Linked DNA regions of Rattus norvegicus. The protein of the gene in region 2 interacts with the protein of the main gene of each other region in a pairwise test. Links are inferred from orthologs where the notes say so. Each region holds a gene or a part of one and is shown on either strand. Other genes may lie near its edges. The genes, in order: Cyren and Ercc6l2.

Region 1 (16,123 bases), on a different chromosome or scaffold from region 2:
AAGGTGACTGAAAAAGCACCTCCCCACACCTGCTCACTCACCTTGCCTAGGAGACCAGGAGGCCTTGCAAAGCCAGTGACCGTCCCTTTTCCTCACCTGAGCTCAGGCCAGAGGAACAGGGAGGGCTGGGCTTCTATACGAAGTTGTTATTTTCTAGATTTTTTCCCCCCTGGTGAGAGACAGATTGGGGAGTAGACCACGGTCCCCACAGCCCTGTGTTGCTTCCTGCTCATTAAAGGCTGTTTTGAAGGCTGTGGAACCGGTGAGAGAGGCAGTTGTCCCAGTCATTCACTGCCCGAGCTTGACCATGGCTCTGTCTCTTAGGCCAAGGTGGTGACCATGTTGGGGGCTCTGAGGGTGTCTGGGGAGTGACCTGTGTGTGACTGAGTGGCCCCTGTTGTGCCTTGTTTCTGCAGTTCATCCAGTGGAACATCCACAAGAGTGGTCTCAAGGTGTCGGAGTACAGCCTCCCTTCAGATGCCACTGGCCCCTTTGTCCTGTCTGGCTACAGTGGCTACAAGCAGGTCCAAGTTCCCAGGGGGCGGCTGTTTGCTTTTGACTCAGAGGGCAATTACATGCTGACGTGCTCTGCCACAGGGGGCCTCATCTACAAGGTAAGTGGGTGGCAGAGGACTGGTGGGTAGGGACTTTTCTCAGCTTGGCTGACCTGAGCTGAGTGTGTCCTCTGTCCTCTGTCCTGCATAGCTGAGTGTGTCCTCTGTCCTGCATAGCTGAGTGTGGCCCTGTGTCCTCTGTCCTGCATAGCTGAGTGTGCCCTGTGTCCTCTGTCCTGCATAGCTGAGTGTGCTCTGTGTCCTCTGTCCTGCATAGCTGAGTGTGGCCCTGTGTCCTCTGTCCTGCATAGCTGAGTGTGCTCTGTGTCCTCTGTCCTGCATAGCTGAGTGTGCTCTGTGTCCTCTGTCCTGCATAGCTGAGTGTGGCCCTGTGTCCTCTGTCCTGCATAGCTGAGTGTGCCCTGTGTCCTCTGTCCTGCATAGCTGAGTGTGCTCTGTGTCCTCTGTCCTGCATAGCTGAGTGTGCTCTGTGTCCTCTGTCCTGCATAGCTGAGTGTGCCCTGTGTCCTCTGTCCTGCATAGCTGAGTGTGCCCTGTGCCCTGCATTTGATAAGATTCTGTCCTTTTCTTGTCTTATTCCTTGGAAATAATACATATTCTCCAAGATATCAGTAGAGCGAAGGGCTTGGGACTGTGGGCTTGTGGGTCTCATGGGTCCGGGCTAGGTAGATTGCTTTCATCACTGAGTCAGAATAGGTTTGCAGGAGGCCTATGGGTCAAGTACACCAAAGTCTACATGTGAGACAGAAACTCAAGGGTGTCCTTTGTCAAGCTAGGATACAAGTTTATTTTATTTGTGTTTGTGTGCTGTATGTATTTATGCACATGTGTGTGGCGGTACCAAGAAGAAAGTGTCAGATCCCATAGACTTAAGAGTTACAGGTGGTTGTGAACAGCCTGACAGGGATGCTAGGAGTCGGACTCAAATGGGTTGTATTTATCTGTTTACCTCTAATTATCTATCTGTCTCTCTATCTTTTATTTTTGTGTATAGGTACATGTTTGACAAGGGGAGGGGGCTCAGAGGTCACCCCGTAGAACTCAGTTCTTTCCTTCTACCATGTGATTTCTGGGGATTGAACTCAGATCTTTGGTCTTGGCAGCAAATGCCTTTACCTACTAAGCCTCCTTGTTGGCTTGTCTACATTTCTTTTTGTTCCTGTTTATAGATTGGAAAAACAAACGGGAACAAAGCAAGCAAACAAAACCTCTGTAACCAGCGCTGCTTGGTTTGCTTCAGGGCTCTGTACCCCTGAGAGACTGAATGCTGACCTTTTCACTCGGATCACCCAGGGATGAGTGCTGAGGACTGAGCCCAAGACCACGTGTCTGGTGCTGTGAATTCCTCTCCCCCTTCAGTGCTCCTCAGAGAATGTTTCCTGGCCAGTAGTGTTTAGTCTGTGAGACAGAGGGTCCTTCAGTGTCTGGTGCCACCGCTTGTCAGTCAGCAAACAGCTGGGGTTTGAACAGTAGTTCTGTGCTAGGCCCGGCACCACTGTCCTGCGGAGTGGACCAAGGAGCTAAAAAATGTTGTCTCTGCTTGCCTGGGGTTCAGACACAAGTTAGACAGCACTGAGAGTAGGTGACAGACAGCTAAGCCCTGAGCAGTTCCCAGAGAACCTGGGTGGGGACCAAGTTCTCAGGAAGACCTAGAGGGAGACTGCAGTCTGTGGACTGGAAAGAAAAGGGGTTGGGAACGTAGGAGTGGGGGGGACTCCTTGGGCCCCAAGCTGGGAAGTGGCTCTTGGGGGCTCTCTGGGCTGAGTGGGTGCTGAGGCGGGGAATGAGGAGCTTCACACAGACCTGAAGGCTGCTCAGTGAGACCGGGGTCAGTAGGGCTCCTCTTCCCACAGAGGACAGCATTACTTTGTTCTCGCCCTCCCTGCAGTGTTAACTGCATGATCTCGCGTGTGGGTCTCTCCTTCAAGATACCCTAAAACACCAGTTACAAGCTAGTTTTCCTCTTTAAGGCTTGTTTTAGTTGGCTTCCGGGAGAGCTGTTCTTTGTTGTCCATGTGGAGGAATGGTTGGATATGCATTTTGTTTTAAGTCACGCAGCCTTTTCCCCATCAGTTTATGTGATGCACAGAGTTGCTCTGTGATCAGGTGATGGGTTGACAGGTGTTCCTGGGTAAATTTTAAAGTGTCATGAATGGTTCCAGTTACTTAAGGAGTCTGCTAAACTTCAGATTGCATTTTCATGATCCATAAATAATTTAAATGATGGCTCTTTAATGATCTCTTCAAGAATGCAAATGCTTTCTGCTGCTCGCTCACAGGTTTCATAGAGTAGTGTTACTAGGAGTCATCTTGTTTCTGGTTCCCAGTGCAGTACCTGCTAGCATCCGGCCCTTCACACATGTGCACAGTTCTAGACCGTGTGCGTGTGTGTGCGCGTGTGTGTGTGTGCGTGCGCGTGTGCACTGAACAGCAGACTTGTTCACACATCCATCAAAGTCTTCCTGTGCCTGGCAATGTTTGGAGTGATACGACTGGTCATAGAGGTCCTGCCCTCCCAAAGTTTGCATGCCTACGGTAATAACTGCTTCAGATCAATGAGTTGTCCACAGTCTGGAATCAACCAGCAGCTGGCAGTTGCTTCTATAGCAGGTAGATGTGGGAACAGACAGGGTAGGTGCAGGAGCAGTTGCCCGCAGATAGATAGGTCAAGGCCACAGAGGAGATGCCACACAAGGTGGTCTGGCTACAGTCTGGAAAGCGAAGGTATAAACAGGGTTTCCAGAAAAGTGGGGGTGTGGCCAGGCCACATCCTCAGATTGGGGTGCCCACTCCCAGGCTCAAGGTAGTTTTAGGACACTGAAAGTTTTGGGTTGAAGTGTGTATGTTTGCGAGTGACATCTGCTAATGTTGCCTCTTCACTCCTGTCCTTCTGCAGCTGGGCAGTGAAGAGAAAGTTCTAGAAAACTGTCTGAGCCTGGGTGGCCACCGTGCCCCTGTGGTCACCGTGGACTGGAGCACTGCAATGGACTGTGGGACGTGCCTCACTGCCTCCATGGATGGCAAGATCAAGCTCACTACCCTCCTAGCACATAAGCTCTGATTTCCGGCCTGGAGTGACACACTGGAAACAGAATTGTCTCTGGCAGAAGAGAGATGAGACGGGGGACAAGACAGGGCTCTGGTTCAAGCCAGGGCTGCGGATCTTCAGGAAAGACCACCGAGGGGGCTCGGTCATCCAAACGCAGCTCCTGGAGCAGGAGTCTGTGCAGAGTGCGCTCCAGAGCACAGGACAGACGCTGAGGAAGGAGCCACACTGGTGCACCGTGCTCAGTCCAAGAGGCTTTGACTGTATTTTGTACATAATTGCTTACTTTTCTCTTTTTAAGGGAAGAAAATCGGAGCGTGATAATGCTCTTACTGTCACTTGGTGTTTCTTTCTGGAATGTGTGAGTCACCTGGGCCTAGTGATTGTCACAGATCCCTGCTTTGGTTGTTGTGCTTCAGCTAAGCTGCCCAGGTTCTGGCAGAACTCGGTTAGAGTTGAGGTGTAGACCACAGTGCCCTCTTCTGGCCCCACACCAAGATCTGATATCTTCTGCAGAACCTGAAAGCTGTTGGTTAAGAAGCTTCTCCAGACAACAGGCCTGAGATCTGGGCCTCCAGCTACCCTTTCCCCTTGGTCTTCTGGCCACAGAACTCTCATTGGTGGCTCCCTCAGTTTTCCAGCTTGAAGTGTCTGAGCTTGAGTAATACCAGCTGCCTGCACCTCTGCCGGGCGTAGCTGGATCAGCTACATCTGTACTCCTGTCACAACCTGTGCTCTGGTCTCTCACTTGGGAGGAGGGTTCTACATCCTACTGCTGAGACCAGCCTCATGAAAGAGCCCTTACAGGGTCAGTGGGTCTGGGCCCTGGCATGGGCCTCCCACGTTTGCCGTGGGTGACCTTGCTACCTGACTAGGGTATGCCACTTCCACGAACAGTGACTGCTTGGAATAGTCATTTGATAGCTTCTTTGGGCTCCAGGCTGGCTGTGGGCTGTTGGGCTGGTAACTCCCAGGTGCCTACATAGGGAAAAAGCAGGAGTGCTTAGGCCTGGGCTCCCTTCTGGGATGGAAGGAAAAGTAGAAAGCAATATATAGGAAAAAGCCTACGTGTCATAGTCACGTGTGTGTTGGGTGGGGGTGGGGTGCGGTGGGATATGCCACAGCAGAGGTCACAAGACAACTCAGTGTAGACTCAGTTCTCTCTGTTCACCTTTGTGAGTACTGGGGATCAAGCTCAGGTGGCCAGGCTGCGTGGGAAGTGGCTTTACCTGCTGCGTCACCTCATGCGTACCTGTTTTTACCCATGACCACACCGACATGAAGACTCAATCCATTCCCTGCCACTTCTCCACTCCGGCTGACATCTCCACAGCCTCATCATCTGTCTCACCCAGCTTTGTGGTCCAGGGTTTCGTCCGAGTCAAGAGCCATGGTTTAACCTTTCCTCTAGTTTTTCTGTCTTAAACGGTCTGTTCTCCCTTCCCAGTGCATTCCTTACAACTTGCTGAGTTAGTGGTTTTAAGGCTCAGAGACAGAAGGAACACTCCAGAGCCTCTTCCTTCCAACTCCTCCCAGGAAGAGTGCATCCTTCAAAGCGCCCGTTTGGAACCCTCAAGGGCCTTAGTAAGGCTCCCTCTTTTGCTGTCCTCAAGTGAAGGCAGGTCACATTGCAAACCTTAAGCCACTCTTCCAGGGGCTGAGAACCTGGTCTGGCAGGTGTGAATCTCCCCTTCCCTGCCTGTGCTCAGCCCCAAACCCAGGCCCCTTGTGGCATTCAAATGCCCAGGAGCTTGGCATGAGGTCTGGAAGCACAGTAGTGCTTACATTTCAGGCTGACTAAATGAAGCTGACTGACATTTGTTATTATTTCTAATACATTTACCTGCCAATTTAAAAATAATAAAACCCATGTGGACTCCAGCATAGGCGAGCCTCCCAGCTTGGTTCCTCACTCCTGCTGGGGTCTCTGCAGGCAACAGACTCTGTATGAAGTCACACAGGTTTCTCATCTTAAGCCATATTTGTTGGGTGACCATGGAGAAGTTTGAAGAAATGTGCAGGGTTGGGGGAGTTTTAAGAATCAAAGGAAATCAAAGGATGGAAGGCTGCCCTCTCATCCGGCGTTAGACTTGCTTGGCTCACATCAGGTGAGGTTGAGGACCCTACTTTCTTGAAAGCCAGGGCCTGCCCTCCCAGAAAAGTCTGGTCTGGTTCAAGAGCAGCTGAAATGACCCTAGGGGTCACTGGTGGAATTGGAAGCCATTGGTTTGTCCCATTGAAAGTTGGGAACTTAAATTTCCTGGTCCAGACTATCCGTTTAGGATTGAGGATTAGCGATCAAGTAGGGCCAGGGAAAGGCAGGGGAGAAAACCTGCTCGACGGGGAAGCCGCGGGTGCCCCAGTCCAGAGTGCAGTTGGAGATTACAGCTGACCTGCTGCTGTAAATCGAATATAGTCTTGATTTCTCTGTTTGGAGGCGGACAGAATCAGATCTGAGGTTCCCTTTGCTCCAGGGTGCCAGAGAACCTCCCCTGTGACGGCCCACTCCTGTGTTTTCAGTCGTCTCTTGTGGCTTCTTTCCCAACCACCCAGTCTGCATTAAATCATGAGTGATTTTAGCTAAAAGACCCCAGACAGCTGGGAGCTTGTTGGGGCCTCCTCCACTTCTGCAGAGGGGACCTTGGACCGCCAACCTGAATGTAAACAGTAAATGGGAGTTTGATTTCTCTCCCTGAACTGTCAGGCACCCCGTTAAGTTTGGTCTCCTGGGGATCCCCTAGCAGGACTATCAAAGCCAGAAGCCCTTTGCACCGCCCTAGTTACTGACTCTGGGTGCTTTCTAAGAGACAACAGCTGCTCCTCAGCCACAACAGCGGACAGAAACCAGGGCCTGCGGATGTGGCCGGTGGTCTGCAGGGGGCACCCGAGGCCCTCGGTGCCAGCCAGCGGCCGGGTCGGGGGCGCGCGCACCGCGAGCGCGCAGGAGCCGGAAGGGGCGGGCGGTGGGATGCGTGCGCGCTTCGCGGTTCTAAATCCCGGAACCCACCAAAAAGAGCGCAGAGCCGCTCTGCCCTCTTGCTCGCGGTCCCATCCAGTCCCCAGACCCGGGCTCCGCGCCCTGTGCGGTAGGGAGGGAGTGGCGCGGCCAGCACCGGGCTAGTGCAGCGACAGCCCGCGTGTGCCTTCTGAGTGAGATTTTCCTGGGATCCAACCGGCCTGACCCCATCAGCGCTGAGTTCCAGAAACCTTGCGGTGGGCAGGACCTGGCTCGATGGTTGATGTTCAGTTTGCTGCGACTCTGTGCCCGTTAACGCGTAACTGCGCCTGTTTCTTGTCTATAAAATGGACGTGATGGTACAAGTACTGCCCGGTCTGATTCATTTCTGAACACTGGCACTCACTGGATGGTGTTCATCTTACTGACTTCTGTTCTGTGGCTGAACAGGTTAGGATGATGCCCTGCTAGTTTTCCTGTGTGTTTTAAAATGAAGTTATAAACGGTCATTCTGAGCGAGCCAGAATGTTCTAGTGGTGTATGTTGGGGGTAGGGGAAGCTAATGAAATCTGTGAATTAGAAGGCCTGGGGGCTTTAGTAACTGATATGTTTTGTGAAATGCAGTATGGTGTGGCGGAAGAGGGTGCCTTAGCCGAGCCTTCCCCTTCCTCCAGGTATCAGCCATATGATGATGGGTCTAGTATAAAAGAAAGTTTATTTGGGGTCATGAGAAGCGTGGTTGGGAAGGGAATAGAGGTAGAGAAAGGGACAGAGAGAGAGGAGAAGGGAGAGAGAGAGAGAGAGAGAGAGAGAGAGAGAGAGAGAGAGAGAGAGAGAGACCTGGAGAAGGGGGAAAGGCGGAGTTGGGAGTGGGGGTGGGGGAGTCAGAAAGAGAGAAAGGGGTCAGAGAGAGTGAGAAGCCAAACAGCCCTTTTATAGCAAGCCAGCCTTATAGAACCTGAGTGTTGCTAGGTAGTTGGTGGAGCCTAGAAGGAACATTAACATGCTAACAGTGACCAAATCACTGTGCGAGTGAGAAGTTTGTGACAGAGATCATCATGGGATGCAGAGGAAAGGGAGACCAGAGTTCCCTTCCTTCTTTCCTCCTGGGATGCAGAAGTGACAGGAAAGCATTTCTTGTTGCTCCAACTACCTGTGGAGCACAGAGCAGTGGAGGGGTCACAGAACTTCATCCCCAGGCCCGATTGTCCTATCTGCTGCGAGTCCTCCATTTGATGCAGTACGTGGCCTTCTGGGCTCTGCTCACCTCTGGGTCACCTAGGCCTGCCCTACACTGACCAGTAATTATTGCTGGTAAATTGAAAGAGCGTTGGCTTACTAGAATCTACTGACTTGGTTCCTCCTTGTAGGCATTCAAGATCGGCTCCCACTGGGGTCAGATAAGCCCGGTGTGATGAGAGTGTGATTTTTGGTCCTGCTGTAGAGAAGCAAGTCCCTGAGTGTGGAAAACCATAGCAATGGAAACCCTAAAATCCGATAACAAAAAGAGGGTCCTCCCCTCGTGGATGACAGCCCCTGGGAATGAGAGAAAGGTTGTATCAGTGAAGACAGCCAAGAGGAAGCAGACAGCAGCCATTCGAGTTGGGGCAGCAACAAGGTGGGACAGCCTGAGGTCAAGAGGGCTTCTCCGTAGCTCTCCTGGCCTGTCAGAGTGGGCAGGGTAATGAGGTGGGTCCTTCCTGCAGTGCCTTGAGGTCTCAGCTTGCCCCTCACAGAGAAGCACCGCTTTGAGTGCTTTGTTGGTGAGCTCTGTGCTGGTGAGGTGCTGCCATCTAGCTGGCAGTGAGCTCTGTAAACAAGCCACGCCCCCAGAAGCCAGAAGCTCTCATTTGTGATAAAAGCGAGATCAATGAAGCACAGAGCTTTTCAGGCAGGCAATCAAATTTTCAGATGTGAGGTGAATGCTGGTAGTTTGGGGGGGGGGCGGTGTTTATCAAGTGGGAGGGAGAGCGCTGCCATCCTCAGTGCTATACTCGTTGGCTCTTTCCTGTCCACCTGTGCCCTCCACAGTTTTCACAGCCCTTGTCTAAACATATCCTCACATTCAGGTACGAATCAGGCTCTGGCCTGATGGCCTGTGTTTGCTGTATCCTCTGTTTGCTTTTGAGACAGGTCTCTCTCTGTAGCCTTGGCTGGCCTGGAACTTACAGAGCTCTGCCTGCCCCCACCTCCCCAGTGCTGGAATTACGGTGCACCACCACACCTGGCCGACCACTGTGTGTTTGAAAGAGCAATGGTGGGAAGCCAGCCACCATCCCCACTCCTCTTCTTTGTGAGGGAGATCATGGAGGGTGGAGGGCAGGTAGCCTTGTGCGTTGTCCCTGGGCCACTAGGATGAGGGGACTCTTCAGTTCAGAGAAGCAGTAACTCGCCCATGCCCTGGGGGCTACTTCCATTTCACCCTCCTTCTGAGTCCCTCCGCCCTCAGCTGTGGCTTTGCGTCTCTATTTTCAGAGCCCCGGCCAAGGAGACAGTGTACTGCATGAATGAAGCTGAAATGGTCGATGTGGCGCTGGGGATCCTGATTGAGGTAACGTCAGTCCTGTCTCTTCTGACTCCTAGGGCTCATAGGTAGGAACTAGCATAGGTCCCTTGCTCCTGGTAAGAGAAGTGCTCCCCCCAGGCTGCCTAGTGTCCCACATCTTCCTCCTGCTTCCTCATTTCAGCCAGCTTTCCCTCAGCCACTGTGTGTGCTGTTTATCACATGGGGTGAGCCTTTGAGACTAGCTGTGCAGGTGGGGCGCGGGTGTGAGGGAGAGCAGGCACCTGTGGGTAACTACACTGACATGTATGTGAAGGGCACAGTGTTCACTCGTGTACTTGGGAAGGTTCCCACTTGGGTAAGAGGACTCCTCCCCAGCGTGCCTCTCCTTAGCAAAGGCCTGTGGAAGAGTCCCGGGCTCCTGAGGGAGGAACAGCAGCCCTGCCGTGAAGTTGCAGAGTTCTCGTGTTTTCTGTGTGTTTTAAAGCAGTGTATCATCTTCCCAGTGCTCATGGCTACCTAGACTATGCTGATCTGGGATACTGCTATCCCCAGGAAATCAAGGCTCTGGGGCCAGCTAGGGGTGGAGCTCAGTTAGGCCCGCAGAGGATTCTGGGCCTGGGCTTCTGGTGGTCTTGCTCCTTGCCCTTCCAGCCATGTTTTTCAGTTGGATTCCTTCTCCTTCTACTCCAATATTCCTCATACATAGGCCCCTGCATCTGTCGCTAGTGGGTCCTGGTCCTGAGGTGTGGGGTGAATCAAGGGTGGCTGCCATGGCGTGGGAGCTTGGCCCGGCCTGGTCATGTGCCGCGCTGGCTTTTCTGTTGGCTCAGAGTACACCCATAGCACTGTCAATCTAGTGCGTCATTGTCGGGAAACAAGCTGCTTATTCTGAGACTGCCATTTCTTCTGTTCTGCAGGGCCGAAAACAGGAAAAGCCCTGGGAACAGCCGTCTCTGGTGGCCCCTGATAAGCTGCAGCTTTCCCCTCCCTGTTCCGAGTCCCCTCACACCAGCTCCCCAGGGAGCAGCAGTGAGGAAGAAGACAGCAGAACCGACTCTCCTGCACTAGGTCTCAGCCCTGCCCGGGGACCAGAAGCTTCTAACTCTCCCTGTAGCAGAAGCCCGGAGGAGGGAAAGGAGGAGGAAGACGAGTTAAAGTACGTCAGGGAGATATTTTTCAGTTAGTATGAACTGTTCGCTGCTTCTGCGGAGAGTCTTTAGGATGTGCGGAGAGCCGTGGGCACTTCCTGCCCCTGCCACCCATGAAAACCCAGACTTTGCTCCCAACTTCCAGTCCCAGGAGGCTGTCAGTTTGGGTGGGACTAATTCTGTAGCAGGATGCAGACATGCATCCTCTTATAGTCTTATCCTGCACCACCCTCTGGCTCTGAGGGTTTGCAATGCCAGCCCTATGTTTTAGTCACAGTAAAAAAAACAAAGTCTTGGGCTAGAAGCAAAGAAAACTAGAGCTGCAGAGAACGTGGGTATTGGAGATGGGCAGCCAGACTTAAAGAGACCTGTGAACAGTCTCCCTCATGATACAGTCCAGCAGCAAGCTTCCACCCTTCCAACCAAACACGCTGGCAGCTGCCCACAGTTCCCTGCCATATCCGAGAGCAGGAGGCTCTATCAGACTGCTGAGTCAAATAGGTCCTGTCTACCACCAGTCACCTCCCTTCTACCTGGGGCCTCCACCTTGGTCCCTGTAGAGCTGTAGGGGAGAGTAGGGAAGGGAAACAGAACAAAGGATCACACCAGAGTCCACGTTTCTTTGGGTTCACTTTGGCTTACTGATGAGCACAGAGTGAAGAACTCGTTACCACTTAGGGTTTTTTTTGGTACACACACTGAAAAGATACATACTGAAGCCCCAATGCATAATAAAGACCGTGCTTCTAAGCCTTTCCAGTCTGGGTAAGGTGAGGGGACGCGCTGTGTGTTTGTGGTGACTAGTCAGCCCTGTTTACCTTCCAGGATTTGGCACATTTTTCGTCTGCATCCCTGAGTCACAAGAATGGTGTAACAGCTGATTCCTGTTTGCTGTCAGGTCCAGGGACCCATTCAGGGGGGCCCTGAAAAGCCAGCGAGGCTTCGCTCAGTGCTGACAGGACTTGCTGTTGAAACAGTTTTTTTTTTTTTTTTTCTAACCGTCCCATTTGTTGCCATAACCACCACAGAGTTATAGTTTGACACTTTGCCAAGACAGCTTGGAAATTTGGCTTCTGACAGACTCCCATGTGCCCGGGGCTATTGAGGATTGGTTGATTAACGCAGGAATCCCGGTGCATGAGCTCCATGGTAACCTAAGGAACCGCAGGTACCCTGGCCCTCCAAGCAGCCTCTGGGTTCCTTGACACCACAGTCTTCTGCTCAGTGGGTTCTGTCTGCTGAGCTGGAGATCAACATTGGCTAGGACACAAGGTGGTTGAAAGGACCCACCCAGCCACGGGTTCCCTGGCACCTTCTTGGAGCACAGTTGGAACTGAACCCTTGCCATCCCATAAGCCTTTGTAAGACTGGACTAGCAGTTCTCCCAGTGGTTCTTGTCCTTCTTATCTCGTGGTGGGAACATAACCATAGCCATAAGCAAGATGATGAGTAAGGCCTGGGCCAGGCACAGAGATAGAAAGCCAGGCCCCAGGAAGGAGAGCCTGAGCCACTTCCACACCAAGAAGAGGAAGAGGCTTAGTCCGCCGGCCAACAGCACAGAGGATGCCCCCAGGAAGCCCACGGCTAGCCGCCATTCTCCCTCATCACTGTTGCACTGGGCAAGGAGGAGAGGCAGAGGGACGAAGACTGCGAGGACCAGGGCTCCATACACACCAAGCCTAGCCAGGGCAAGGCCAACTTGAGGTATCCCCAGCACCCCCAGCTCAGGAAAGTTGTAACACTCTAGAGAGCCAATGTCCTCCTTCCACAGACAGAAGTTGTAGAAGCCGATTCTCAGGTTAGGTACGTCAGTGAGGTTGCCAGCCTTCCAGAGGAGAGCGTAGGACATCAGGGACAGGACCATGGCCACGAGGATCATGATGGCCATGAAGGACAGGCGGTTCCGCCACACCCTGGAGATGGCCATTCCTTCTGCTGTCGCAGGGAGGCCTGGAAAAGGTGGCACCAGTGAGAATCCAGCCCTTTCCTTGTGTGTACAAGCTCCTATTCTCTCTGCCCTCGTGTAGACGGGAGGTCCCAAGTCACAGCCAGTTCCCACTCCCAGTGGCCCACTGGTCTGCGGTTGGAAGGAACTGGGCAGCTGTGGAAACTTGAAGTATCCTGAGCCACAGCCCTCAGGTGAAGGGGTTTACTGCAGCAGAGATCCCACAAACCGGTGGTGCTCTCTGAGAGGTGTGAGGGTGAAGGGAAAGCCTCACTGTTAGTTGGGGTTGCAGCTTGAGGTAGGTGATCCAGGCTTGACTGAACCTAAGCTCAGTTGCTTTAGACAACCACTTAGGGAACCGAAAAACTGCCCAGCGAGGCCACACGTCAGTCAGACCAGTGTCTGTGCTCTGCGCGTGCGTGGTCAGCAAAGCTCTATGTCTCGGTTGGTTGGGTGTAAGCCTGGGTGGAGGATCAGTGGCCTGTGTCTCCTGCCCTATTTGGGAACTGAACCTCTCTTGGGATGAAATCACACTATTGAATGATGTTGATTTCAAAACATGTCTGTCTGCCCCCACCCCCCACCCCATAACAACAATAATCTATTATTCTAGGAAATTTTTAAAAGAAAAAAATTAAAATAACCCTTTGTCTTAACCACCATAGTAACGCCACTGTTCATATTCCGCATTATTTTCCCTGTGATCGTTATTTCTTTAAAGCACAGTGTTAAACCCAGTGGTTTTCCTCTGACTGCTGTGGGCATTTTTCATAGCTGTTGAGATATTCTTCAAAACATGATTAATGGTTACATAATGTTTAATCCATGGGCCAGGTGTAGTGGTACCTGCCTTCAATCCCAGCGCTCAGAGGCAGAGGCTAGTGGATCTCAGAGTTTGAGGGCAGCCTGGTCTACAGAGTGAGATCCAGGGCAGCCAGGGCTATGTGGAGAGACCCTGTCTCACAAGAAAGGAAAAAAGAAAGAAAAGAAAAGAAAAGAAAAGAAAGAAAGATAGAAAGAAAGAGGGAGGGAGGGAAGGAAAGAAGGAAGGGGAAAAAAGACATACTCAACTTAGAGCTATTTGTCTCATCTTAGTGATCTTATTACGTACGTATTTCAGGATGGACCTACAGATGCCGTTGCCCTCTTTCTAAGTGTATATAAGAGCCTATTTTACTACACTATCATTAGAAAAACCTTTTCATTACATTTTTTTAAAGATTTATTTAATTTATATATATGAGTATACTGTAGCTGTCTTCAGACACACCAGAAGATCATATCTCATGACAGATGGTTGTGAGCCACCATGTGGTTGCTAGGATTTGAACTCAGGACCTCTGGAAGAGCAGTTGGTGCTCTTAACCACTGAGCCATCTCTCCAGCCCTTTTCATTTTTATTCAGAAGGGATTTTCCTAATTGCCTCAAAAATAGTCTGCACACTGCCTATTTCTGTGCGTTTCCCGCTAAGGAATAAAACAAACACCAGGAGTAACTCGGGAAGCAGAGCTCAGAACCTTGTGAGACACAAGCACCAGGGCCCACACACCAAGCCCATGGGCCTAATCCCCAGAGCTAGGTGCAGCCCAGCATTGTGGGCAAGGGCCCACAGACCCTATGGACCTCAATGAACTCCTGGAGAACAGCTCCTTTCTCAAGGTGCAGTGAGATTTCTGTGTATCCCATTTGTCTTACAGGAACCAGAAAGAATTAAGGGAGAAAGAATGTTTGCCTGCCTTAAAGGGGTGGGGTGGAGGGAGCAGGAGGGAGGGGCATCTTCTTCAGATATGACACAATAGGGGTTGGTTTTAGCAGCCACCGGGCAGTAGACAGGTCCGGTTAGAACATTTTGAGGTCTGAATGGACAGTGTCTCTACCCAGGGTTGAGCAGTTCCTGGCTGTCGCTGTGGCTTCCCTCCGGTCTCAGAAGTAGCTTTTGTCAGAGGCCTTGTTTGAATGTACTAGGGATTCTTGGAGCAGTGAGGCTTGCTCCAGAGACTGTTAGAGGCAGCCGTTGCTTTTCCTCACTAGGTCCGAAGGACGAAATACTTAATTCATGCAGCCACGGTATGAAAAAATTCCCAACATATTTTAAACCGTTTTGGTCATTCAGAACCTTTTTTTTTTTTTTTTTTTTTTACAAAGCCTATAGGTATGTTTTTAGAGGGATTAGGTATTCAGGATGTAGGGTGGGTTTCTGGGTGTGGGACCCCTGTTTATCCAGTGGTGCTGTAGGAAATAACCCGTGCGCAGCCTGCACTGCTTGGGAAACGCCAGGGTGCCACCTGGGAGACTCCGGTCTGGATCCTGTGGGTTAGGTTAGACAGTTACGCCTGAGGCAAGGTTGGACAGTGAACTTGGCTTATTAGAGGAGGCCGTGGCCACCTCGGCACAGCTCCTGCCGGACCCCTTGTTTGTGGCTTCGTTTACTCTCAACTGATCTTTTGGAGGTGTGGGTGGGTTACTGTTTTGTTTTGCCCTGTTCTGAAATAAGAACCTCTCTGTGTAGCCCCAGTTGGCCTCAGACCCTAAGATCCTCTTGCCCCATCTTCTGCAACGCTGGTAATGGGCATGTGCCACCACGCCTGACTTCCCATGAGTTTGCAATGGAGAACGGAGCAATCGAAAACGGGAGTGGAAGGAACACAGGGCCGGGCATGTGGAGAAAGCCAGCCCTGAGCTTTCCTCTGCTCTGCCTTGAAACAGAGTTCAGCCCTTGCTCCTGTGCCTGTAGCATCTGGTCTGTCTTAGAACTTGAATTTTACTGGGGGCTCAGGTCTCTTTGTCTTCTGCACTTGGCTTTCTTGTGGTCAAGCTCTTCTGTTCAGACTGTGCCCACACTCAGCCTCTCTCCAGCTCCCTCAGAGTGGAGAACAAGAAAGCGGAAGCTGGAGTGGATACAAGAACGAAGTGTTCCCGAGGGACAGTCTACGTCTGTTTCATCCCGAGAAGGGTGAAAATTTTTGAAATTTTTTGGAATGTATTAATGAGGATGCCCTCTGGTATACTTAGGTATACATCGCGAGTGGCAGGGCATCCTGCGGGGCCCTGACTACGACGTGCATTTTACCAGCAGTACTGGCCCTCCATTCAACTTCATATGGGAATGCAGAGTTGGGAGGCTGGTGACTAGCCCTCCTCTTCTACTCCCTTGCCGCAGTGTCTGTATACTTGGTTGAAAGCCCAACGACATTCTTCTAGCTGTCCTGGCAGCCTCCTGGAGGCATCCTGTTTTCTCTAACCGCCCTGGCACTCACATCGCCAGCACGAAGGACCTAAATTTCCTATAATGATAAGCCCACACTTCCTTCGAAGAGCAAGAGGCTCTAGTGACTGCTGAATCACGGTGGCCACTGTAGATGAACTTCCTGTTTGTAATAAAGCAATGCATGCTGGTTTCTGAAAGCTGTCAAACCATGCCAAAGTGTGGAGAAAGGCTAAAAATCCTCTGCAACTTCCGGCTAGAGTACAGCGGCACTCCCCGCCTGCAGTGAGGGTCTCGTCCACGCACGAGTGCGTTTCCCATGTGTCATTCTAGCATGCATGTTTATGTCCTGGGAACTGTTTCCTGCTGTCTTTAAGGGCTTCCCGGAGCTGTAAAAGCTAATGGTTATTTTTTTTTTACTCCTTTTTTTTTCTTTTCTTTTTTTTTTTTTTTTTCAGAGCTGGGGACCGAACCCAGGGCCTTGCGCTTGCTAGGCAAGCGCTTTACCACTGAGCTAAATCCCCAACCCGGTTTTTTTTTTTTTTTTTTTTTTTTTTTTTTTTTATAAATTGTTCTTTATGTGTCATAATCTTATGACTAATGCTATGTGAGATATTTGTGAAGACATTTATCCTTCCAACGGTAAATTACGTTTTTAATGTTTTATCTGCGTGTGGGCCAGAGCACAAGTGTGGAAGTCAGAGGACCGAGTGCAGGAGTCAGTTCTCCGAAGTGTGGGTT
Region 2 (15,329 bases):
TCTGACTTAATGGCCTGGCCTACTTACTAACTAGCCCTGGTGTTCATCTGCTCCCAAGAACAGCTACTGCTGCAGGGCCTTCCACTCAGGACAGTGGTGCTTCTGGGAAACTCTCAGGTAGAAGAGAAACAGAGTTGGAGCAGTTATTGCCAATGTAGGGAGGGCTGTGTGGTTTCTTCCTCAATAAAACAGATAACACCTGCCCAGGAGAGCTCCAGGGCAGACTAAACGTAAAAAGCACTTGAAATGTTAAACAAATGGCAAAGTAAATGCTCAATAAATGAGAACTGATGCAGTTATTCCCCAGCCCAATCCCCTTTACCCTCCCTAACAGAGGAAATGAGAGGTTTACTACAGCGGAGGTCCCTATGTTTCAACAGGCTTTGGGGATGCAGTGTGGAAAATGGATTAGAGAGGGAGGAGGCAGAAGCCTGGGAACCCAGGGAGAAGTCTGCAGGCATCCAGATGGGAGGTGGAGGGACAGAAACTCAGGCTCTTGGCAGTGGGATTCAGGAAATATTTCAGAGACATTCTCTCCAGGACGTGATAACAGGTTGGGAATGGAGGCTTGGCAGAAGGCTCTGGCTTTGAGGGAAGCATGAAGGTGGGAGGGCAGGGAAGGCAACCGCAAGGCCTGTCCTAGAGGGTGTGTGGCCAAGGATTGAAGGCCCAGCCAGCAGGTCCAACAAGAGCAAGGGCAAGGCGTGCACCGGCTTGGGGAGTGCTTCTGGACGTGGGGGGCCCGCTTCCCGGGGCAACTGGCTGGGGAATCTTAGGTGGAGTTCGCCAAGGTGCTAAGTCGGATTTCCTCCTGGGCCAGCCTGCTGTGTGTTTGCGAGGCTTGCCTGGCTAAGTCCCCAGGGCCCTCGCTAACACTGCGCCTGGAACCGGCCAGGAGTTCCACCCTGCCAGTTTCCCACTTCCTTCCTAGCTCTGCTCTGCATCTCTGTCTAGGTGCTTGCGGGAAGGGGGGCGCCTTCGCCTGGCAGCTTCCCAAGACTGAGCGTTGGGGATCAGTTGAAAGTGATTTAGACAGCAGAAACCCGCGCCTCCAGGATTCAGGATTCAGGATTCAGGATTCTAAGCCTGAGGTCCACTCGCCCAGTCAACTGTGCCAAGCTGTGCCCCGCGGGGGTCCCCACCTGCTCCGACCTATTGACTGTCCATATACCTGCTTGGCGACCGACCACCGGCACTAGGCGACCCTCCCCACCCTCCTGTTAGGATGCTATAGGGACTCCACCGGATCCCTGCTTCAGGGCTTAGGCCCTTTGAGCTCCTGCACAACAAAAGCTGGACCACCCACAGCTTCACGCTGTGAGGGACGCGGGAAGCCGCCTGGCTTGTGGCTGGTGGCAGATAACGCGCCCCCCACTGGCTTGAGCTCAGGAGTTTTCCGTAGCTACTGCCAGAGCATAATTCCATTAGCCTTTCTTCTCTTTTAGGGCAGATTCTCTGTCCTGCCAGGGGGGCAGGGAGAGCACTAGGCCCCAGCTCAGGCTTTGTGGTTCCTTTCCGGGCGTTGCCAGCCACCGGAAGTACACAGAAATCCTCATTTGGGGCTCACAGTGTCTGCAGTTTGTCTGCAGGGTACGGCCAAGCTCAGTTGGCTGAGATCCATCTTGTTGCAGGCGGAAAATGAAAAGCCCAGGAGTTCCACCTTGCCCAGCCTCGAAGGTCAGCAGACTACTGAGTGGCAAACCTATCCCTGGGCTGGTTTTGATTTACCCCACAAGCTGGGTGTACCCCCAAATGCCCAAGAGGTTAATCTGTTAACTGTTCTTAGTTTGACTAAGCTTGCTCCCCTCCTATAAGGCCCCTCTGCTCCCTGGGGAGTGGAGTGGGCTTGGAGGCCTCCAAAGACTGGAAAGCTCTTGGAAGCCCATTTCTTCTTGTTTCCATAGTGGCAGTGCCTCACAGGGGTTGGGGAGGGGGCACTGATTTCTGCCAGTGCAAGCACAGCTCCCCCTCTCCAATATGCTCCTGCAGCAAAGTGTGAGTGACCATGGCCCTGGAACACAGACTCAAGAGGTTCTTATAGTAACAGGACAAAGGAAGTAATAAAATACTCCAGTGTGTGTGCACACATGTGAGAGAGAGAGAGAGAGAGAGAGAGAGAGAGAGAGAGAGAGAGAGAGGAGGTGGGGGAGGGAGTGAATGATGAGAGGGAGGAAGAAGAGAGAAAGGGAGGGGGAGGGAGGGAGGCAGAGAGAGAGAGAGAGGCAGAGAGAGAGAGAGAGAGAGAGAGAGGCAGAGAGAGAGAGAGAGAGAGAGAGAGAGAGAGAGCGCGCGCTCGATCAGGAGAGCCTACTGTTTTCTGAGTAGACAGTTCCTTCCTGCAAGCTCAGCTGAATGTGGGCAGGTACCAGACTGACATTTCAAGTGCCAGTCAGTCTCAATGCCAGGAGCTATTCAGACACTTTACAGAAGGACCTCCTTGCCTTTACCTATCTATATCTGTCACCTACACGACTATACCTGTCACTGTACCTATCACAGACCAGAGAAGCTGAGAAAAGGTACTAAATAATCTAATTGAGCACATTTCAGAGTGTGTAAACCACATATATTAAATTCAATGAAAGAAGTTTAAATTAAGATCAAATGTTTATTCATTTACATTTACTTAAGAAATACAAAGGTAGGCTATATATCTTTATTTATATTTACTAAATCACAGTAATGTGAAAAGTTCAGGTATTGCTATCCTGGCCAAAGATAGAAATCATCCCATTTCTTTAACACCATAGCACACAAACACTGAGTAGTTATAAAAATCAGCATTTTTAACAAATACCATATATTGAGTCCTAATTATTGAGTCTTAATTACAGCTTTTATCTAAAATAATTTTATAGCAATAGAACATAATTCCAAGGAAGAAGGAAAAACAGTAAGTTCTCAATGCCAATGAGGAGAGTGCAGTGGCTGCCACTTGACTTTGGGACATTCTGGAGTTTAAAAGTGGAAGGCTGTGTGCTGCTCTGGTTCAATTCTGTTATCTTTCACATAATGAATGGGCATGCACAGAGCAAGTTACTCATGTAAGGCCTTGGATTTACAGAGGACGGAAGACTCCCAGTTAATAATAGTTAAATTATGACAAGTTATAATGATACAATTGCATTTGTTTGGAAGATCAAATCTGGGGCAGGAGATGTAGCTCAGTTGTCCAGAGTGCTTGCTGGTATGCATGAAGTCCTGGGTTTGACCCCCAGCAGTGCATAAACTGGGTGCTGATGATTAAAACAGATATTAGGAAAAGACAACCCATGATAACATGCTAAGCTGATAAAATGACGCTAAAGCAATGTTAATACACAAGTTTGCAGACAACTGTTCTGCGTGCCCCACACACGAACATACACAGCCAGGGCCAGCAGCTCACTGGTATCTAATCTAATGGCACGTCCACGCCCTACTCTCTCTCCCTACTGCTTATGCTTTCATCATCAACATCTGAGCTAAATGTCTTCCACAAAAACTTCTCGTTTGCTTTCCAAAGGGAAGCTTCCAGCTCCTCTTTCCTTTTGGAGGCTGTGGTGCGGGGTGCTTTGGTACACAGTGTTTCTATCACTGCCAAGTCAGTGAGTTTGCTGAGACTGTCATCATTCTGCTCATTCAAGATGTCCCAGAAATCTTTTGGTCTCTGCTTTGCTTTTGCCACAGGTCCTGAAGGACCGTTCTTTGGCAGCTGTGTGGGACCTTCCCCATGGCTTTTAAAGAGGTCGTTAAGAATAGAGGTGTCACCAAGTAAGCCTTCTGTAGGAGTGCTTTCTGACACTGGGTTTTCTACTCTTTTGTTTCTCAGCTTGAAACATGGTCTGTTCCTTGAACTGCCTGCTCCTGTGAGGTCCCACTGATGTCCTGAGGAACCTTCTAGCTCTGTCTCTAGGGCTTCAGACTTGCTGTCTGGACAGAAGAGTGTCATGCTATCCTTGGGTGTGTGGTTGTTTCTCTCACTGTAAATCTCCTGAGTAAAGTTGACAGGTGATTTCTTAATCTCTGCACCACTAGAAAATGTGTCTTCTTTATGGGAACCATGATTCTGAAATCTGACTGATTTTCCTTCACATATTTTTTGGTTGTAAACTTGAGACATTTTGTTGGTGGAATCATTACATGATAAAGTACTATCATTTGAGGGCCTTTCTTTTAAAAGAGATTCTTTTCCTTTAGATTTGTTCCTCACCCTCTCTTCTTTCTCATGGACAGATTTCATCAACTCTGAAGCAGAATCCATGAAGAACTCCTTTACCTCCGGGTGCTGAAGACTGTAAAAGTCCCTGAGCATTCTCTGTTGCTCTTCAGATGTGGCGCTAGTAACTTGTTCAGCAAACTCCTTTACAGAGAGCTTGTAGAAAGAGGCCATTTCTTCAAACTGCTTTCTAAAGATAAGTCAGATTAAGCCAGTGGTCATTTTTTAATAATACATTTACATTTTATTTTTAAAGAGTTTAACAGGAAGCTGTTGAGATGGCTCAAAAGGTACAAGTGACAAGCTGCATTCAGTCCCTGGAGCCTATGTAATGGTGGAAAGACGGTCAACTCCACAAAGTTGTCCTCTGGCGTCTACACAGGCACAGGCTTTGTGGTCCATGTGCCCACACTCACTGTGATGGAGTTAAGAATGATAATGTGCTCCTTAGCAGTGACAGGAAACACAAAGGTTAAAGCAATGCGCCTCATCCCTCTGGAACATCAGCTTAACTAGGAGAACATGCCTCTTCCCCAATGCTACCAGAAACCATCTTTTAGCTCATTAAATCATCAGCTTTTTAGGTAACTCTGATTTATACTATTATATATTTCCTGGGAATTATGAGAGCTCAGCAGGCTACTCCTCTAGTTAGCCAATTTATGGCTAACGTGAGAATCATCATTTATACAATCTATTTTTTTGAGAATCTATATAGCACTCAAGTCCCATAGAATTACATTGTTAAAGATTGGCTTTGATAAATGGAAAATTCTAGAAAAATTAAATTTCCCCTTCCCTTTCACAGTATAGAATTTCATGAAGTTTTGTTGAGCTTAAAAAACAAAAACAAAAACAAACAAAAAAAAAAACCTCTATAAGTGTGGTTCTTTTTCCCCACTGTTCACCTTTAGTGCAGACAGCTAATCCTGGACGCCAGGTACTACTTTCTAAGCATGGTGGTGCACAACAGCAAGCCTAGTCCTCAAGTGGCAAGAGGATGGAAAGGTTGAGGTAGGGTGGGTTATGTAGGGTGACCCTGTCTCAGAACCAAAGGAAGCAAATAAGCAGAAAGAGTAAGATGTTATTTGAAGAAGTGGATTGCATCCTTGAGTAAGACACTAACAGACACTTCAATATGCACACCCATAAGTGGGTTTGGTAAAGTGGAGGTAGAAAATTATTTACGTTCCTTAAGCCACAGACTGCTGCTTTTCACAGGGAAGGATTTGGAGTCTGAATTGAACCTATTCCCTAAACACACTGAAGTCCAGTGTGAGAGCACTGGCAGAAGGACCTACAGGACTACGTACGGTCATGGGAAGAGCACGAGATCCCCAGAGTCACATCTCTCTAGGATGAGAGAAAAGAGAACTAGCATGATGCTACTTCTACAGTCTCAGTTTTGAGCCAGGCTTGATAGAACAACACGCTTATGATTCCAACATTCTGAATGCGAAGGCAGAAGGATTGATTCTCAATCATCCTCAGCTCTATGGTATATTGAGGCAGTCTGGGCACCATCAGACCCTGTCTTACCCCACCCCACCATAAATAAGAGGGAGTGTATTTTTTGCTGATGCCGTGTTTGGGCTTTAAGTCGTAAGAGCTCAGTATCTGTAGATTTGTCTTCAGATAAAACCAAAACCAGCACTGCAGCACGTATTAAAGGCCCCACTCCCTTTACACAGTCTACCAATTTCCTCAGAGTCCTGTTATGTCCAAGCACCACTGTACAAACTACACCATAGCAAGACAGACCGATCCCGGGCCTCACGAAGTTCCGTCTGGCTAAGAGAGTCAAAGCAATACAGTCAGTGTAGAATCTCATGATGAAGGGTAAATTCAGCTCTCCTGGCACTCACAGTGGATACCTAAGTACTTGCAGGGTAGGGAGAGGTTCTCTGTTGTCACCTCTACCTGTCAGGTAAGGATGAGCAAGAAGCATTCAAGAACTAGTTCTCATGGACCTAGAACACACCAGAACAGGTGAAAAGGCAGAACTGGCCAGCAATCATGGGTCTGCATTGTTAGTTTTTTAAAGGCTGAATTTTCTCTTCATATAACATTCTTAGGGTAAAACAAGGGTTTTTAAATGTAGGAGCATTCTAACCACAGCTTTTGTGATTTCCTGTTCATTTGGCTCTGCCTCCCAGGTCAGGTAACAGTCTCTTGTGGTTGTAGTGACAGCCTAAGGTGAGTGTCCACATTCTTTTGTGGCTGAGAGGTGTTCTATGGCTTCTGGAGCTCATGTCTTGTTCTATGTTCTACAGCTGATCAATAGTCTACAACAATATATTTCATTCCACGAATAACCCCCCGCCCCCACCTCAATTTCTATCCTGGAAACTGCCAATGTTCTTGTTGGAATGCAAGCATGTTCTTAAATGGTTCTGTTCTCATGTCAAATAAAGCAACAGGATGCTACTGTTCTGCCTACTACTCATCACCAAATCCATTTCCAGGACCCAGTAAGTATTTGTACTTATTTATAAAGATTTAGTAACCAGTGGGCTATTAGGTGATATATTTAATTTATCCAAGACTTGGTGATCTCTCAGCAGATGCCAAAGTAACTTTATCTCTGCTGTGCTAAGAAAACACATAATCTCATCTCACCTGTGACCCTGGGGCAGGTCACCCCTGGGAGGAGTGATGCTGCCATGCTATTTAACCCAAGGAGCCATTGAATGAATTGCCTATGGTTGCCCCTTACAGAATGATTTTTGGCCTTCCCACTAATTTTCCTAATTCTGGAACTTCAATAGGATTTTCTTTAAGAATTTAAGAAAATGCAATGAATAATAGAAACATAAGCTAACCACTTTTATCAGAGTAGCTTTAAGACAAGGGAAAATAAAAACCAAGTTAGGAATCTATAGCATGTCTATCAGAAGTCACGATGGCTAATATTTCAAAGGCTTTTCTGCATGGGAAGGATCTGAACTGTACCTGACACCCCCATGTCACTGCCTTGCTTTCTGAGGCTAGATGTGCTGACAGCCCTAGAAGTTTATCACTCAACTACTACAAGGAACAGCCACAACTGACTGACTGTGATGGCAGCAGGAAGGGGTGGAGTGTCCAGGCACTCTAATTAGTGTCCTGGAATTCTAATATTACTCTTTATCTTTCTCTAGCATGAAAAATTTCCTCTCTGGGTTGGGTAAGAAAACAATGGAAGGAAGCAAGAAGAAATCCCTGCTATACCTGCTTCCTTTTGAACAGACACCATTATAGGGACCAGACCCATGTTTCTTTAAAGACTGGGGAAATGTAGTTAGTCTTCTAGAAGAATCACTGACAACAATAAAAAAGCATTCCCTGCAGAAACCGCTGTTGCCAGGCAAGCCTGCCAGGCAGAATAAGGGGCTGCCTCATGCCAGCTCTTTGGGTTACTCCTTTTCCAGGCAGCTCAGGAACCAACTGTGAGCAAGAGCAAGTAGTTTCCACTGTCCACAGAGGTCATGAGAACCGGGCTGGCTGTGCCTGGTTCATCTCTTGACACCATTCTTGGTAACATTAATAGCTGTGTATGGAGACCCCACTGACTCACTCATTTCTTCACCTGACCCCTGGGGACTGCTTCAATCCCATGCTTGTCCCATATTCCTACATCTCTGTGATCTCACAATTTAGGAGTGAAGGCAGTAGATTCATAATACCAGCAAAGTCCAGGCCAGTCTGAACTACTCAGTGAGATCCTGCTTCAAAAGGATTTGCTTTTATTTTTTAATTATAAAAGTTCGTGTTTTCTGAAGTTTGGATGCGAGATATGATTATACAATATACATTTTATTATGAAACTGTATTTCTTCTGAGAATTAGCCTGAGGTCTAGCCACAGACAAACATACCTGCGGATTCCTCTTGGTGTTTCTCCAATGATGAAGGTAGTGTGGTTAGTACGGTAGACATCTTTCTTTTTCTGGCTTACAGGGTGGGATATATACAGAGGAGAGGAAATGTGCCCATCACTTGGTGGCTGGTCTTTCTTTGTAGGTATCACTGCATTTGCATTCACCTTACTTTTGTATGTCTGAAAAAAAAAGGAAGTACAATCTAAGCCTGAACAAAGCCGTTTTGGATTGATAAGACAAAGAATGTCACACTTACTTCCCAGATACTTTACAGTGAAGCAGGTCACATTATCCAACTAAAGCAACTTTTGGAGGATGGTAGTGTAGGCCAGTCAAAGGAAGAATACAGAAAAATGTGGTATTGCCTACTGTCAGGATTACAGTTGACAAACACACAGGCTGATCCCTATTACCCTAAGGATAATAATCAATGATTAAATGAATGAGGCTGAGTCTAGGCCAGGTGCAGCTGTGCAGACTCAGCCAGTGCGACAGGAGTAGAAAGACGGCCCAGTAGGCAGAGATTCTTGCATGAGGCCCTATGAGTGGATCCCACAGGGCAGGAGAGAACCAACACCAGACTTGTCTCCTGACCTACATATGTATGTTACAGCACACATGCATGGTCCATTAATAATATTTAAAAATAAACCAAAAAAGTTCACCTAATTTTTAAAATTTTGTATTTTTCTAAAAATTATGAATCAATTTTTGTTTAATTTTACATAAGCACACAAACTAGAAAAATAAACTGTTGGGTAACAAAAGGAAAACCAGCTTTTAAAGTCCTACTTCTCAGCCTCTGTTAGGCTAAAGAATATTCAGTATTTTAAAATATTGTCTACAGTTTGTAAGTTATAAAGAAAACCAAACTTACTTTACAATAATTTTATGGCTGTTTGTGAATTGACAGTAGGCAAGGAATCAAATGCTATATCTACTTCTAATCTCAATGACAAGTGTGACCAGGTAGGAAGTTCTATTCCATTCCAAAAATAAAAATAATAGATACAAATTTACAACAACAACAAAAACATATTTAACTTTAAAAGTGAGAAAAAGCAAGCCTGCTAGGTTCCAAAAGCAAAGAAATGAGAGAGCAACCACAGGTTAGCACTCTAGAACACAGCCTGACGACCTGTAAAGGAGCTGGGGGATGAGCATGATTTAATGTCCTGAAGTAAAAAACCAAAGAAAGAGGCTGGGAAGACAGCTTCACTGGCAAAATGTTCACTGCACAGGTGTAGGGATCTGTACAGGGATCTGCACTGGGCTGGCTAGATGGCTTGATGGGGTGAGGTACTTGCTGCAAAGTCTGATGACCCAATTTTGATTCCCAGAAAACACTGTGGATGGAGAGAACCAATTTCTGAAAATTACTCTCTGACCACTGTGGCACTAGCACATACACACAAATGTAACTTAACTAAATTAAAGGTATTAATATATCTACTAATAAAAGATCTAAGTGTGATCTGAACTCATCAAAGCTGAGTCCTGTGGTACATACTTGTAATCCTGATGCTGGGGAGGAAGCAGGAAGGTCTTAGGCCTCACTGTCCCAAGGATGGCAAGATACTTATGTGCACATATACCATAGGAGAAATATACAGGAAGCAGCAGCAGCAGCAGCAGCAGCAGCAGCAGCAGCAGCAGCAGCAGCAGCAGCAGCAGCAGCAGCACTGCTGAAGACGTAGCACAGTAGTAAAATGCTGGCCCAAAACATGCGAGGCCTTAGGTTCTATATCCAGCACTCCCCTTCCTACAAGAAGGACTGCTAATTTAAAATTTTAAAGCCAGACAAGCTTAAATAGGTACACAGAAGAGAAGCAGGGGCTACCTTCTTACTCTAGACATTAAGAATGTCTAGAGACAAAACAGAATGGCCAGCAGGTTGCAACTGGAGAATCTGATTTTGTATATCCTGGGTGGTAAGAAAAGCTATGCTGAAAATCACATAAAAACTGGCCAAGAACCATTGAAAACCAGAGTCCAATGAGGTGCAAACACAAGAACACTAAAGGAAGGCTTGTGACTTGGTGGGGAAAAGAATTCAGAAACTCACAAAGAACACTAAACCCCACACCTGTTAAGGCAGAGGTGCAGCCAATAAGAAAACTCTACTGCAGTCTGACAGTGAATCAGATGACCTGAGGGACACTTTTGAAGAACTTATCTGGAAAGATTAAACAATGAAACAAAGACAAACAAAAAACCCAGCAAGGCACTTTAGACAGACCAAATACAAACTTTAAGAAAAATTTAAAACAAAATAGGAACAATGTACAGGTTAGACAGCAGATAACCAGACCTGCCATGACAGTTGATGAACCAGGAGAACAAAGTGACTTAGAGTAGCACTGGCACTGAAGGGAGAAGAGACAGAAAACATGCTTTGAAATTCAAGGAAAGAATAGAGAAAATGGGAGATGATGTAACCACAGGGCAAAAAATTAAAACTTCTAATTAAAAAGAGAAGAAAGGATCTTTACTAGGAAAAATGAAAATAAATGTCCTCCTTTAGGTTACAGATAAGGAAACATTCTAAAACCTACTGGAGGGAGAGAGAATAAAAAAGAATCAGCAAATGTAAGACTTCTAATTGGCACTACCAGACAGAAAGGGTAATGTCTTCAGCATGCACACAGGCAGCACAACCTGCAATCACAACTGCGGCCTCACGACTGCTAAGGCCAGGCCCTATAGAGCATGCCTGTACTGTACTCCCAGCTACTTGAGGAGCTGAGGCAGGATTGTGATTTCAAGGTCAATATGCATCTGAGATACAAACACACTAAGGTATAATTGAAGCCGTATCCCAGAGATAGAAGACCTTTTAGAAACTGTGTACGTTTAGCCCCTTCCTTTTCTTGTATAACACATGTAACTTAACTTACAATCAAATCCTTCCCAACACCTTAACAACTGTATACAAACCAGCTCTACTGAAGATAAATGGATGTCTTCAGAAGCAACAGCGCTCTACCTGGACAAACAGTGACAGGCAGACAGCTGATAACAGCCAGGAATACAGAAAGCTGCTTTGCTAAGGTCATCAGGCTTTTAACATCATAACTGTCTGAAAACATTATCAATAAAGAGGAAAATACTGATCTTTAGGATAAATCCGAAAGAGATGTTATGTATTTATTTCCATCAGAAACAGGATGAAGGCTACAAGTTATGACAGCTTCTGATCCCTAGAAATGGGTATTCATTATTTTAAGAGATGAGAATGTTAACATGAATATAAAGAAAATAAGCAGAAAGCGCAATTGAGCCAACCAAGAACCTCCTTCCTCTTACGCTGTGATTTCTGAAGCCATGGAGAGATGGCACCTGCAATGGCTCTTGTCAATTGTTTATGCAATTGCTCTTTCTGACATTACAAAGCTCACATTTTATACACATCTAAAGAACCAGTTTTATAAATCCTTCAGGAATTCAGCCTTTGCAAACACAGATGCTGGACATATGGATCATTAGATTTTTGTGACATATTTCACAATTTAAAACAAGATTCTTAAAAGGAGAAAAATCATTTTCCCCCACATGAATTATTTTTTTTTTTCTTTCTTTTTTTTTTTTCGGAGCTGGGGACGGAACCCAGGGCCTTGCGCTGGCTAGGCAAGCGCTCTACCACTGAGCTAAATCCCCAACCCCCGCCCACATGAATTCTTTATCCTATCTTTTATTATTTTTAAAAAGATATAATTGTAGATTGCTACTTAGTAGATAAATTTACCATTTTATTGAAATTAAGTTGTAGAACATAAATTTGTACTTAGTCCAACTGTATTAAGATTTCAGGAATATATGTGCTGTCACTGTTATACTGAATTGTAAGTATAGAATGGAGGTGGTGAGTTATATTCTGATTGCTATTTAACAAGTTACCATGGTATTACTGGCTTGAAACAACATAAACTTCTGACCTTACATTACTATAGGTGTGTCTGACACGGATCTCACTGGGCTAAAATCAAAGTGCTGGCAGAGTTATGTTCCTTCTCTGAGGCTCTATGGGACAATTCATTTCCAAACTTCCCTAACTCTCAGATGCAGACCACAGTCCTTGTTTTCCTCTAACACTTATTTCAGGGTTACACCACGCTATGAGTACAGCCAGGGAAGATTCTTCTTGTGAGAATGAATGTGAATATACTAAGTCCAGCAAGATACTCTCAGCAAAGAATTCTGGTCAGTTAGCTAGTGTCCTTAATGGTATCCATCTTGTTAATTCAACAAGGTCAGCTTGATTCATCCTGAATTGTATCTACAACCTTAATTCTCCTTTGTCAGGTAAGGTAACATTAACGAGCTTCAGAGTCTGGCCATGGCAGGAATCTTAGGGATCAGGGGACTTTTTCTTACTAAGAGTCCTTTGCCGTGTCCACTGATACTATGAAGGTTCTGGGACTGCAGAGAAAGGTACTCTTGAGCCTTTTGAAGATCCATTTGCAAGGTGCGTATGTGAGCATCTATACATCTCTCCGACAGAAGAGCCTAGGACATTTTATCATTGTCTTAACGTATATGTAAACAGAAAGAATTATGAACTGCTGGTTTACACAGTTCCATTTATATAGTTTTAAAAATCCATATTTCTTTTGGAAAAAAAGTGTATTAATTTATAAACATCTTGGTGCTCTTGTTTTAGAGATGGCTTCAAAGTAGTATAGCAAACTCTTCACCACAGCTGAGATGGGCAATTAATGCCCGTGAAGCTTTAGCTGCACTGACAATGTTTGACTAGGACAGAACAAATCGAGATCATTTGAGCAAAGTATGGAGTCTTTACAATGAGATAACACTAAGCCCCTAGAACAAAGCAGACTAGGAATTTAAAGAGTAATACTGTCTCCTTTAACATTAGAACAGAGAGGGAAGCAAGCTAAAAGCACCTTTCTTCCTCTGGGAGAGCAGGGCAAGCAAACAACTAGATCACCGTGTTAAAACTGGATGGAAAATGTTGCAATTAAAAGGTGAAGGAAGAAAGCAAAAACCTGTTTCTGCACAGTCATAATTATCCCCCTTTCTATTGATTAGTGAATTAGTTGAGACATTGTTTCAGTATGTAGCCCAGGCTGGCCTTGAACTCACTATATAAGTCCCATACTGGTCTTAAGTTCACATTTTCTTGCCTGTCTCCTGTGTGCTAGAATTACAGACATGAACCTGGCATCTCTAATATTTTCTCCACTTTTTTTTTACAGTTTATATGTGAAACACTCCTACAGGCATGTGTTTAAACATTTGGTCCCCAGCTGGTAACACTGTCTAAGGAAGCTGTGGAACCTTTGGAATGTAGGCTTTGCTGAATGACATAGGCTATTAGGGTTTGCCTTAAGGGTTACAGCCTGGCCCTGCTTTTGATCCCTGCCTTCCTGACTTGCCACACACTTCTGCTGCCAGGAACTCTTGACATGCCTTCCCACCATAACAACTGAGGCTCTGAGCCAAACCTGTCTTCTCTCTCTCTCTTTTTTTTTTCTTTTTTTCGGAGCTGGGGACTGAACCCAGGGCCTTGCGCTAGCAAGCGCTCTACCACTGAGCTAAATCCCCAACCAAACCTGTCTTCTCTTAAGTTGCTTCTGCATATATTTTGTCACAGTGACAATAAAAGTAACTAATGCAGCTGCTTAAAAGATATCAAGCGTAGGGGAGATGGCTCAGTAGTTAAGAGTACTTGCTGCCTTGAAGAGGACTTGTGTCTGATTCCCAGTACCCACAAGGTGGCTCATAACCATCCATAACTCTAGTTCTAGGAGATTTAATACCATCTTCTGACCTCTGTGTCTGTGTGCACCAGACATGCAAGCAAAACACTTACACACATGAATTGATGATGATGATGATGGAGGATTCCTCTGGAAGTCCTTTTATTGTTGAGGATAGTTTTAGCTATCATGGGTTTTTTGTTTTTCCAGATGAATTTGCAAATTGTTCTATCTAACTCTATGAAGAACTGGATTGGAATTTTGATGGGGATTGCATATATCTGTAGATCTCTTTTGGTAAAATGGCCATTTTTACTACATTAGTCCTGCCGAACCATGAGCATGGGAGATCTTTCCATCTTCTGAGATCTTCAATTTCTTTCTTCAGAGGCTTGAAGTTCTTATCATACATATCTTTCACTTGCTTGGTTAAAGTCACACCAAGGTATTTTATATTATTTGGGACTATTATGAAGGGTGTTGTTTCCTTAATTTCTTTCTCAGCTTGTTTCTCTTTTGAGTAGAGGAAGGCTACTGATTTAGTTGAATCAATTTTATACCCAGCCACTTTGCTGAAGGTGTTTATTACGTTTAGTAGTTCTCTGGTGGAACTTTTGGGATGACTTAAATATACTATCATATCATCTGCAAATAGTGATATTTTGATTTCTTCCTTTCCAATCTGTATCCCTTTGATTTCCTTTTGTTGTCTGATTGCTCTGGCTAGGACTTCGAGAACTATATTGAATAAGTAGGGAGAGAGTGGGCAGCCTTGTCTAGTCCCTGATTTTAGTGGGATTGCTTCAAGTTTCTCTCCATTTAGTTTAATGTTAGCTACTGGTTTGCTGTATATGGCTTTTACTATGTTTAGGTATGGGCTTTGAATTCCTGTTCTTTCTAGGACTTTTATCATGAAGGGGTGTTGAATTTTGTCAAATGCTTTCTCAGCATCTAATGAAATAATCATGTGGTTTTTATCTTTCAGTTTGTTTATATAGTGAATTATGTTGATGGTTTTCCGTATATTAAACTATCCCTGCATACCTGGGATGAAGCCTACTTGATCATGATGGATAATTGTTTTGATGTGTTCTTGGATTTGGTTTGCAAGAATTTTATTGAGTATTTTTGCGTCAATATTCGTAAGGAAAATTGGTCTGAAATTTTCTTTGTTGGGTCTTTGTGTGGTTTAGGTATAAGAGTAATTGAGGCTTCATAGAAGGAATTCGGTAGCGCTCTGTCTGTTTCAGTTTTGTGGAATAGTTTGGACAGTATTGGTATGAGGTCTTCTATGAAGGTCTGATAGAATTCTGCATTGAACCCATCTGGACCTGGGATCTTTTTAGTTGGGAGACTTTTAATGACTGCTTCTATTTCTTTAGGAGTTATGGGGTTGTTTAACTGGTTTATCTGTTCCTGATTTAACTTCGGTACCTGGTATCTGTCTAGGAAATTTTCCATTTCCTGCAGATTTTCAAGTTTTGTTGAATATAGGCTTTTGTAGTAGGATCTGATGATTTTTTGAATTTCCTCTGATTCTGTAGTTATGTCT

Evidence for each region.
Region 1: the proteins of Ercc6l2 (region 2) and Cyren interact in binary tests that used the Homo sapiens proteins (3 or more experiments, as listed by UniProt). The two-hybrid records come from large-scale screens. The link is inferred for Rattus norvegicus from reciprocal best matches to the Homo sapiens genes ERCC6L2 and CYREN.

What each region holds. Positions count from the first base shown.
Region 1 is NC_086022.1:64,509,340-64,525,462, reverse strand, and holds Cyren (cell cycle regulator of non-homologous end joining), read left to right. Parts: upstream 1-6,720; 5' UTR 6,721-6,986; coding exon of another isoform or gene 6,987-7,027; intron 7,028-7,947; 5' UTR 7,948-8,055; coding exon 8,056-8,195; intron 8,196-9,052; coding exon 9,053-9,128; intron 9,129-10,000; coding exon 10,001-10,267; 3' UTR 10,268-10,986; downstream 10,987-16,123. Other genes in the region: Wdr91 (WD repeat-containing protein 91), read left to right, coding at 417-614, 3,472-3,636; Tmem140 (transmembrane protein 140), read right to left, coding at 11,604-12,158. UniProt on the Homo sapiens protein: Cell-cycle-specific regulator of classical non-homologous end joining (NHEJ) of DNA double-strand break (DSB) repair, which can act both as an activator or inhibitor of NHEJ, depending on the cell cycle phase.
Region 2 is NC_086035.1:1,219,551-1,234,879, forward strand, and holds the end of Ercc6l2 (DNA excision repair protein ERCC-6-like 2), read right to left. Parts: intron 8,237-15,329; coding exon 8,055-8,236; intron 4,389-8,054; coding exon 3,419-4,388; 3' UTR 2,589-3,418; downstream 1-2,588. UniProt on the Homo sapiens protein: Promotes double-strand break (DSB) end-joining and facilitates programmed recombination by controlling how DNA ends are joined in a spatially oriented manner during repair.